Ovis aries: one gene and its partners. The protein of the gene in region 3 purifies or fractionates together with the protein of the main gene of each other region. This does not show direct contact. Links are inferred from orthologs where the notes say so. Each region holds a gene or a part of one and is shown on either strand. Other genes may lie near its edges.

Evidence for each region.
Region 1: the proteins of SFN (region 3) and GAN purify together in Homo sapiens (affinity purification with mass spectrometry; 3 studies listed by BioGRID and IntAct, with this or other methods). This does not show direct contact. The link is inferred for Ovis aries from reciprocal best matches to the Homo sapiens genes SFN and GAN.
Region 2: the proteins of SFN (region 3) and HDAC7 purify together in Homo sapiens (affinity purification with mass spectrometry; 3 studies listed by BioGRID and IntAct, with this or other methods). This does not show direct contact. The link is inferred for Ovis aries from reciprocal best matches to the Homo sapiens genes SFN and HDAC7.

The regions. Positions count from the first base shown.
Region 1 is NC_056067.1:7,472,700-7,476,347, reverse strand, and holds part of GAN (gigaxonin), read right to left. Parts: intron 2,025-3,648; coding exon 1,912-2,024; intron 1,106-1,911; coding exon 956-1,105; intron 75-955; coding exon 1-74. UniProt on the Homo sapiens protein: Probable cytoskeletal component that directly or indirectly plays an important role in neurofilament architecture.
Region 2 is NC_056056.1:138,794,188-138,797,690, reverse strand, and holds part of HDAC7 (histone deacetylase 7), read right to left. Parts: exon of another isoform or gene 3,312-3,503; intron 3,054-3,311; coding exon 2,934-3,053; intron 2,715-2,933; coding exon 2,617-2,714; intron 1,403-2,616; coding exon 1,284-1,402; intron 674-1,283; coding exon 540-673; intron 223-539; coding exon 138-222; intron 1-137. UniProt on the Homo sapiens protein: Responsible for the deacetylation of lysine residues on the N-terminal part of the core histones (H2A, H2B, H3 and H4).
Region 3 is NC_056055.1:240,067,180-240,070,433, reverse strand, and holds SFN (14-3-3 protein sigma), read left to right. Parts: upstream 1-1,284; 5' UTR 1,285-1,342; coding exon 1,343-2,089; 3' UTR 2,090-2,609; downstream 2,610-3,254. UniProt on the Homo sapiens protein: Adapter protein implicated in the regulation of a large spectrum of both general and specialized signaling pathways. Binds to a large number of partners, usually by recognition of a phosphoserine or phosphothreonine motif.

The DNA of each region.
Region 1 (3,648 bases), on a different chromosome or scaffold from region 3:
GACTCGAAGAGTTTCCCATAGGATCCTCCACCCATGGCATAGATTTTCTTCTTCATAGCTGCATAGCAGCCAATCTGGAAGGAGGAAGCAGTGGGGGAGGCAACGCTTATCATTAAAAGTTGGCTGAGTCAACACCAGCTTGGCTGGAACCCTGGGAGATGTTTGGAAAAGGGCCTGACGGAGGCTTTCAAAAATGGGAAGAGCATGGGTAGCACACATACTGTCCTCAGGGAAGGATTAGCGCCACCTAACACTACTCCTCTAAGTGAGATAAGCACACAGGCCTTGCTTTTAAAGGAGCTTTCCAAGCTCTCTTCTTTCACCACTATTTGAAGAGTCCAGGACGCAGAGTCCACAGAGAATGATGTCACTCAACTCTTGCCCCAAATTAAGTCAGCTGGAAGGGCACACACACAGGGAGCGATCATATTACCAGTGAGTCCCAGTACCAAGGTGTGAAATACCCAGGGCGCTAGAAAGGCGCTGGCCTGATGATGAAATGCCTGTCTCCACCAGGGAACAGAAATACAGATCAAGCCCTGAACAGCTAATGGGAGCCCTTAGTCTTCATTCTTCTCAGAAACCAATGGCAGTTCTTTACCTCTGGATCAATGGATTAAAGTTTCCTCCCAAGCGTGCACGACGATTCAGAAAACAGGTTTGGGAGATCGGGTTCCTGCCTAGGTTAGCGCCATCATGGAGCATTCATCAGGTATGGGCCACAGACGCAACAGCGCTGCCCAGAGCCCACCGCCCCCTGCGAACTCTCTCACACAGCTCCCCAGCTTGGTATGTGACTGGCAATAGTGAAGGCAAGAAGCTACCAGCAAAGACAGACTTCTTTAATGTTAATGCTTTAACACTATCAATTGCATTAAAATGCATCTGTGAGCAATGAAGAAACTAACTTTAAAATTCAGCGTGTGAATTAGTCATCACGAGGTATAGTTCTCACCTTTCTAACCATGGTCAAATCAGGTTGCTTTGTCCAGGTTTTAGAATAAATATCATAACATTCCATGGAAATTAGCTCTTTTTCACCATCTTCTCCTCCTAAAACGTACAGCATGCCATCTATCTCCACAATTCCAAAATTATGTCTTGCCTGAAAAAACATTAAAGAGCTTTGTAGACAAAAGGCCGACTATCATATTGAAAGCTGATAATCATACATTTAATACAAATGACAGGTTTTCATTACATTCCTGCAAAGAAATACAAGACTCAGAACTGTGTCTCTCAAACAGTTCTGCTTTCCCCAGAAGCTCACTCTCCTATCACAAGAGACAGAGAACCCAAGTCCAGGAATTTCCCGGAACAAGGGAATTTCACGCGAGGTGGACTCCAGGGTAAAATCCTCACCTTTCGCTGAAGTCAGCTCATGACGAGAAAGAACGATTACCGCCCGATTCCATAAACTGATTTTTGTTCAGCATGGGTAGTAGCGGCTCCCAGCTGACGTGTGAAATTGTGTAAGAGCCCCAGCAACAGGCCCGCCCGTGGTGGTGGTGGGGTGGTGCGTATGGGCCTGCACGAAGGCTGCCCGAAGGGCGACACTCACCCACTCACAACACTGACCACTCAGAGGCCCCTGCCATCCAGAAGTCTGTGCGAACAACTTAAAAGGCCCAGTGTGTGAGGAGGGGTGATGCGGTATGAAGAGAAAGAAAGCAAGGGAGGCGAAAGGGGAGCTGAGGGACAGCGGGGAGGCCTTGCTGAGAAGGAGGCGGGCAGCGTGCCACGCGGGTACCTGGCAAAGGACTGAAGCAAGTGTGTTTCCAGGAGGTGGGGTGGAGGGCACAGGCACGCCAGGCAGGGGTCTCGGTCATTACACTCAAAGGCAGAAGCAAACCGAAGTGCTACCGGGGGTGAAACAAAACGTCAAACAGAAAGAAGCAATGCTCTATCTACCTCGTTCATCGGCGGCAACGCGGTCCACATGTTCGCATCTGGGTCATACTTTTCTCCTGAGCTCAGGGTCTGCTTGTTTTCATCTTGGCCCCCAAATACAAACAAAAACCCTTCTGAAAAAATCAAAGGAGACACACAAGAAAGCTGAAGCGTAAGTTTTCAATACCCACGCCCAGGCGAATGCAAATGCCGTGAGGTCAGACAGTACGTGGAGGCACCTTCTCTGATGACAAGGGACTCAAGATCTTCGTCACACTTCACTCAACCCTTGATGACACAGTTAATCTGTCAGTCACCCCGACCGTTTCACTTCACTCAGAATCTCTGAGCAGATTCCCACTTCTCTGTGGCTTAAAAGGGAAACTGACCCCACCCATCCAGTCATCAGATGACTCAAATTATCTCAGTTTGTCTATTCTGTTCCCCAGCCATATCTTAAAATAAAATAGTTTTCTTAAAGGAGAAACAGCCAAAGAGACACTGGTAAAACCGAAGGGAAATGGAGGCTGGAGAGGTCACCATGCATGGAAGCCACTTTGGTCTGAGGGTATTAGCAATGTGGGAAAAACGCAAGCTTTCTCTTAATGGCTTTGAAGGCATGAAGAAGATAGAAGTCTACATCCCAGGCCCACAGAGAGTGTGGTTTCTGGCAGGAAAGCCTCTTCGAAGTTCTAACCCTCAGGATGAAGGCCAACCAGAATGAGAAGCCAAATTTAAATATCCTTGCTTATCTAGGAAATCTCAAAATTTGAATTTGATTTACAGTAATTACAAATTAGTGTTTTTAGGCAACTGGCAGAAACAAATGCAAAACTTCTATGGAAGACACTACCTTTATCTAAGTTTTAGAATCTAACATTCTAAGATTTTAAATCATTAAAGTTTTCCCACAAATAATTTTTAATAAAATGATCAGCACCCAGCCGAAGATACTCAGGTATACAAAGGAACTAGAATCTATGAAGATGAAGCAGTAGAAACAGACAACAGGAAATAATCTAGAAAAAGACTGCAAATTTCAAATATCAGAGTAATAAGAGAGATGATAAAACAGAAATGCTCACTATGTTATTTAAAGATAACTCTATATGGAGGGATGGACATAGCAGGTTTGAAAAAAAGAAAATTCTAGAGGGGAAAAAAAAGCTGAAATAGATTGAATAAAACATTCAATGGAAGGATTCAATGGCGGATTCATCACAAAGAAAACAAAACAAAAAGAGGGCGGAAGGCAGGGAATGGAGTAAAAAGGTCTAGCCATGTTTAATCTGACCTCCAAAAGCAGAGGGACAGAGGAGAATGAGCAAGGACAACATTCGAAGACATAATAAATAAAAATTTTCGAGATTTGATGATAGGCCAACCTTCAGAGTCAAGATGCCCAACAATCCCCCAATATGGTAAAATTTCAAATAAAATGTTCACCTAATACTGAAATGACAGGGAAAAAAGACAAAAAACAACAGAAAACTTAAACATAGTCCAGAGAAAAGAGAGAGTTTTATATCTGACAACTGACAACAACTAGGAATAACAGAGGCCAGAAGAAAAATATCTTCAGTGTGCTGGACAATAATAGAGGCCAACCTAAAATTCTATACCCGGCAAACATATCCTTTAAGGATGAAGGCAAAATAATGACATCTTTAGACAAATCTTAGAGTTTGCCATTATTAGACCATGTTAAATTCAGAAGGATGAACTTCAGAGAGAAGGAAAATGATCCCAGATGGAAAG
Region 2 (3,503 bases), on a different chromosome or scaffold from region 3:
GAATGCCTACTCCGATGCAGCAGCAGCTCCCCTGGGCTGGCTGGGGTTGGAAGACCTGGGGCTCTGGTCCCTGGGGGCAACAGACCCCAGAGTTTTCCCCAAGTCTGGGGTCAGCAGTGTCCTCTCTCCACACTCACTGTGCACTCGGATCACAGCTTCCAGGGAGCGGATGGCATTGAGGTTGGGTTTCTGCTTCCAGCCTTCTTCTGAGAGGGGATCCACCTACAGAAGAAAGCATGCATCAGTTGCCTGCCTCGCAGGGACCCACAGGCCCAGCTCTCTCCCACCCCGGGGCCCTCGCTTTCCAGGCTCAGATAGGCATATGCTCCTGGCTCTGCCTGGGGCAGGGGACGCTGACCTGACGTCTGACCCAGAGAAGAGGCATCCACTCTGTTCCCCTCAGTCCAGGCCTGGCCACCCCCACCCTGCCCATCTGCAAGCCCCCAGGGAGGCGCCCCAACTGCCTGCCCCTTGGGGTGCTCCTGGGAAAACTGGACTGCCTGCCCCACAGCTGCATGGATCAAAGGTGGGCACCTCACCTTGTTGCCCAGAAGAGCAGCCACGCAGGCCTCGGAGGCATCACAGATGGCTGTGAGGTCATGGCCCCCCTCCAGGGCCAGCACTACCGCACCTCCAGCCAAGCTCATGAGCTGCTGTGTCATGTACCCAAAGCCTGCATGGTGGGTGAGAGGGTTAGGAGGGGCCGGGGCAGGGGGGGGAAGCCCTCTCTACCTCTGTTATTTCCCTGCTCGGCTCCTCCCTGAGAAAGAGTGACTCGGGGGACAAATCTCTACTTTACCAATGGCTTTCACATGGAACCCCCTGTAAATCTTACTAGTGTGCCTCACTGAATGTTCAGTGAGGTTAAGGGTGGCTAGTAAGTGACAGGGCGAGGACTCGAACCCGGGGTAGGGACTCCAGCCCATGTCTTTTCCGCTGAGACACACCATATTCCTCCCTGTCCTCCAGGCTCAGCACTGCTGAGTGGGCTCCCTCTGTTCTGAGAACTCTGCTCCTCCCCATCCACCCCCGCCCAGCCTGGGAAGGACACAGTCAGGGTGGGAGAAGTCCTCTGACCGAGCCTCCAGTCTGCAGGACTTGAGTCCCCAGGTGTGACTTAGGCCTTGCTCGATGAACTGACCTGGCCTGTGCATGATCCCCGTCCCATGCTCATGGCCCTGGGCCAGCCACTGTCACCTCCCTGTTGACTTGGGCAGCGCTGCCCACCCACCCCGGCCCAGCCTTCATGCCCTTGCCGCCCCCCTAGCCGGGGCCCTCCTTACACTTGGCAGAAACATGGTAGCCACCCAGTGGGGGCGGGTGACCCTCGGCAGCATCAAACCCAGCCGACACCAGGACCAGGTCCGGAGAGAACTCCCGGGCGATGGGCATCACAACTATCCTGTGTGCGGGGAAGGGGGGCTCACAGGCTGTGCAGGGCCGCCCGGCAGCAGAGGTGGAGGGCCCTGCCTGGGGCCAGTCCTCTCCCACTAACTCTACGGGGGAGCACCCTACTTTCAGGACTCCCAGCAGGATGAGCGGATGCCTCTGGCTTCTCGACCTTGGCCCACCATCCATGTCCCTGGTACAGCCTAAGGACTCAGCCACCCAGGGCTCTTAACTGGCAAGAGGCAGGAAGGAGCCAAGGATGAGGGGATGAAAGAGGAGCCGGTGCACTGTGTTCAGTGGGGAGTGGTGGGCAGGGCCACAGGGAAGGGGCAGGTTACTAAAGCCTCAGGGCAACACCGGAAACACTTGGCGCTCAGCTGCCACCTGCTTAGGACTGAGTCGGCCACACGTCACCACTCACCACCTAAGAGCTGACCAGGGCAACAGATCCTCTGAGGTCCTGGGCCACCAAATCCATGCTCATCCTTTGCACCTGCCGGCTCCTCACAGCTACCTCCCTCCACCGCTCATTCCTCACCCAACCCTAGGTCCACTTTGCTGTCCTTCAAGACCCTGGGTGTACAGATGCCAGGAATCCCAGCCCAGGGCTCCTACAAAATTAACTCTCATTAAGAATACTCCAGAAAAGTATACAGAGACCTATTACCAGGCTTCCCTTTCTCCAAATGGAGTCTAGGAACCCCCAGAGAGAAATACACAACAGCTCCTGAGCCAAGTCCCCCTTACAGAATGGCTTTGCTTAAGCAACGACCCCAATATGGATATCACCTGCTTGTTTTCCCTCCTCCTCCACAGTTTAGGCTTCTCAGCTCCTATGCAAAGTCTGCCTCCTCCAGGCAGCTTTCTTCGCCTTAACATAGCAGCTCTGCTGCTCACTCCCCCAGACTGTCTCCCTGCACTCAGCTCAACACTGGCTCTTGGTAGCGTGTGACATTATAAAGTACGCCTTGACCTTTTCAGTCTGTTTTCCTGTCTCCCCACAGGGACTGGATGCCCCTAGAGTCTAGCGTAACCATGCCTTTCCCTGTGTCTCAGTCCACAGGCCCACTCCAGGGCTGGCTTATAATGATAGTGGCTGGCTTATAGTGATTAGATGAGGACGAGCTGACAAGCCACCCGATCACCTCCAAACTGGTGCTGCTGTAAAAGGGGAAGAGAGGGGGGCCCTGCTGGGCCAGGCCTCCTCTGCGCCCCTAGTGAGCTTACCTGAAGGCAGCCAGGTACTCAGGATCCCCCATGGGAGGGTCAAGACCTCCAGCCCAGGCCACGTTGACATTGAAGCCCTCACCGCTGCCAGCTCCCACCTGGAACACAGGAGGCAGGAGATGTGTAGAGAGTAGTGTCCCGGGAGCAGAACCCCTGGATGTCAGTGCTACAAGAGTAGCTCATGCAGCCCCTTCACTTCCGAATGTAGAAACGGAGGATCCGAGAGGCTCAGCAGCCTACCCAGGATCACACAGCTAGCTGTGACAGAGACAGTTAGGGCTACTCGTGAGAGTGAGCGGGCCGGAAGATGGGGTTACCTCATCCACAGCCCCACTGCCAGGGAAGAAGTTGCCGTCGTCATGGCGATGAAGGGAGATGTACAGCACAGTGGGGTCCTGGTAGAAGGTCTGCTGGGTGCCGTTGCCATGGTGAACGTCCTGTGGAGGGAGATGGGCAGTGAATTAGGGCAGGTCTGAAAGCAGAGAGATGGGGGCTCGGACAGGCTGGAAAGGTCTCCAGGTCAGTGACCATTGTGAAGGTCGGGAGTCTAGACCTGGGGGTGAGAACACGGGGGCTCCTAGAGTTAAACTGTCAAGGGACTCATGGGTGTTCAGATATGTACATAACACGCTGGGTGGGGGTGATGATAACATGAGGCCCGGAAGGGGAGGAGCTGCACCGAGGGCAGGCCAGCCAGAGCCAGAGGGAGAGTACGTGTTGGGGGAGGGCGAGTGCCAGGAGAGGGAAAAGTCCAGGGTCACACATCAGGAACCCTTACTACTGCGTCTTGCTCAAGGTCAGGGTGTGATGCAAGCGATGGAAACCACACTCCATTACAGAGGGGCTAGGACAACGAGGCCCAGTCCCATCCTCACAGGAGCGCCGGG
Region 3 (3,254 bases):
GCGCTCAGCTGGGACTGCTGCCCCATAAAACGAAACGACATGCATCACAGCCGCCTCCATCGCCTTGGTCCTGTCTTTTCTCCCCAGTTGCTAGCGTTTCCCCCCCTCCTGGTACCCAGCTGGGCAGGGTACCCAGGTGGCGGGCATCCCTGCCTCTGACAGAGGGCGGGGCTGAGTTAGGCAGGAAAGTGGAACAGCCAGTGAGCTGGGTCCCCACCCTCTGTGCGCCCCACTGACACATGATGGCAGACAGGGGGGGCAGGTGACCTGGTGTGGACAGCCAGAGGGCAAGTCCTCAGACAAGTGGCAACAGGCCACCAACTTGAAAGGGAAAATTGTGCTGTGATGGGGAAGGTATCCAAAAAACCTACTGGGTGACTAATTACAAAGGCTAGGCCAGAGCGTCAGAGGCCGCTCGTTAAACACCTCATTAAGTGGCACTCTGAAAGCTGCCACTTTTGCATTCTGGGAGCTCAGAGGGGACAGGATCCTGAGGAGGAGTGAGGGGTGGTGGGTAGAACCATTTCAGGTAGACTCTGGAAGAAGCCTGCATGTCACTTTTAAATAGTCTGGAGCTCACAAGTCAAAAGACTTGATGGGAGCAAAGCCAAATTTAGTAGCTGTGTGACTGTGAGCAACTCTCATCTTTCTCTGAGCCTTAAAGCGGTCCCGCCTCTACAGTGGGAGTAGTGTCACAGACTTGCCCATTTCACACAGACAGAGCAGGTTAGATTAAGTTAGATCATGGGTATGAAGGCGCTTGGGAAGCTAGCTACCGCCCTACCTAAACAAAGAGTTATCCCTCCTGAACCAATATGGGAAACACACCTGGCAGGACTGGGAACCGCATCCTCCTGCACCTGGCTTTATGGGCTCTGCCTAGGCCCATAGCGGCCAGGTAGCTGAAGCCATCCTCAACCCGTGTAAGAACACGGTGAAGGAGGATCTGATTTCAGCAACTGGGACAGCTACCTACGGTAGGCATGTAATAGAAGCCCTGAACCAGAGCGGGCAGCCTGGGGCCTGGAAAGGTGTCGGTGCAGGTGAGGCCAACGCCCAAATCTCTCCCGCTGACAGTCCGGATGACTCACCCCCGGCCCCCGCCTCCCTACCCGCCATCCAAGCCCTTTTACCTTTAAGGAAGAGCGGAAAGGGTGTGGGGGCGAAGAGGAGAGGGAGGCAGGTCCGGGGCCCTAGCCCCGCCCTCTGCCCCTCCCACCCTTCTCTGGGCCTGGCCTTCCAGCCAAAAGGCGGGCAGAGAGCAGGAGAGGCACAGAACCCGGCCTTGGTTCCGAGGCAGCCAGTTAGCCCGCCGCCCGCCTGTCTGCCTGTCCCCAGAGCCATGGAGAGAGCCAGTCTGATCCAGAAGGCCAAGTTAGCCGAGCAGGCCGAACGCTATGAAGACATGGCAGCTTTCATGAAGAGCGCTGTGGAAAAGGGCGAGGAGCTATCCTGCGAAGAGCGCAACCTGCTTTCAGTGGCCTACAAGAACGTGGTGGGTGGCCAGCGGGCGGCGTGGAGGGTCCTGTCCAGTATCGAGCAAAAGAGCAATGAAGAAAGCTCGGAAGAGAAGGGCCCGGAGGTGCAAGAGTACCGAGAGAAGGTGGAGACGGAGCTCCGGGGCGTGTGCGACACAGTGCTGGGCTTGCTGGACACCCACCTCATCAAGGAGGCCGGTGACGCCGAAAGTCGGGTCTTCTACCTGAAAATGAAGGGCGACTACTACCGCTACCTGGCCGAAGTGGCCACTGGCGACGACAAGAAGCGCATCATCGACTCAGCCCGGTCGGCCTACCAGGAGGCCATGGACATCAGCAAGAAGGAGATGCCGCCCACCAACCCCATCCGCCTGGGCCTGGCCCTGAACTTTTCCGTCTTCCACTATGAGATCGCCAACAGCCCCGAGGAGGCCATCTCTCTGGCCAAGACCACCTTCGACGAGGCCATGGCCGACCTGCACACCCTCAGCGAGGACTCCTACAAAGACAGCACCCTCATCATGCAGCTGTTGCGAGACAACCTGACGCTGTGGACGGCCGACAACGCTGGGGAAGAAGGGGGCGAGGCTCCCGAGGAGCCCCAGAGCTGAGCCGCACCCGCTGCACGCCCTGCCCTACCCTGCCCGCTCCAGTCCCCCACTCCCGGCAGAGAGGACTTGTATGGGGTGGGAGGTCCGACCCTTCTCCCCAAACGCTCTGGCCCAGCTCAGAAAGGCTCCATAGAGAGGAACAAGCAGAGCCGAGTCCCCCTGGAGCCAGAGGATTCCATACTTCCTGCAGCTGTCAGGGGCTCCTGGCCACTGGTCATCATCCAGCCCTGCTCTGTCTCCACCCCCGCCCCCCGTCCCAGACACCCCCCCCCCCACCCTGACCACTTCCTCCCCACTCCAACCCCCTCCCGCCCCTGCTACCTATGGATCTTAGGAATTGAGGAGTGTCCCATCCTTAGAGCTGAAAACCGAACTGTGTGGCAGAGGTTGGTGATGAAGGTGTGTGTGTGCGCCTGTGTGTGTGTGTGTGTGTTGTGCAGCAACCAGGACCCAGGATGAGAGGGAGAGCATGTCTGCTGGGTGTGACCATGTTTCCTCTCAATAAAGTTGCCCTGTGACACTCCGCCTGTCTTTTTCAGTTATTGCGGAAGGGCGGGACAGGGATTGGTGTGTGAGTTACAGAGACCCTGACCTCCTTGGGGCTGGCTCAGTGACTCGCAGGCAAGACTCTGGAGCCAGGAGAGAGGCTGGGGATCCAGCCCTCTCCATCAGGGTCTGGTCTAGTCCCCTCAAACTGGTCCTATCCCGGGAGGGTCGGGTGAGCAGCGCCAAGGCGGCTTGGAGACTCCTCTGCCAGGAACGTGGGGTGGGAGGCTGAAGCGCTCAGGTGTGAGGGGACAGTCTCCGGGGTGAGGTCGGAGGGGTACGCCGCAGTGAGCGGCACTGAGCACCTCAGACCTGAAAGCGGGGAACAGTCCCATCAGATCTGAGCGGAGGGAAGTATCACCAGGGGGCGGGTATGACGCCGCCATTAAAAGCTCAGGTCTGAGGAGAAGACCGCCTTCCAATGTTCGGAGATGGGGACAAAATAAAACAGGCCGTTGACGAAGAAGTGCAACTTGAGTGCGAAGAGCCGCCAAGAGCGGGTTCGGCCGCGGCGGGCCAAACCCACCGCCCCCGCATCTCTGCTCCCAGCAGCGACGCTCCTCCGCCTTCGGCCGCCTAGTGAAGCCCTACCTTCACAGCCTGAGGCCAGAGGCGGGCC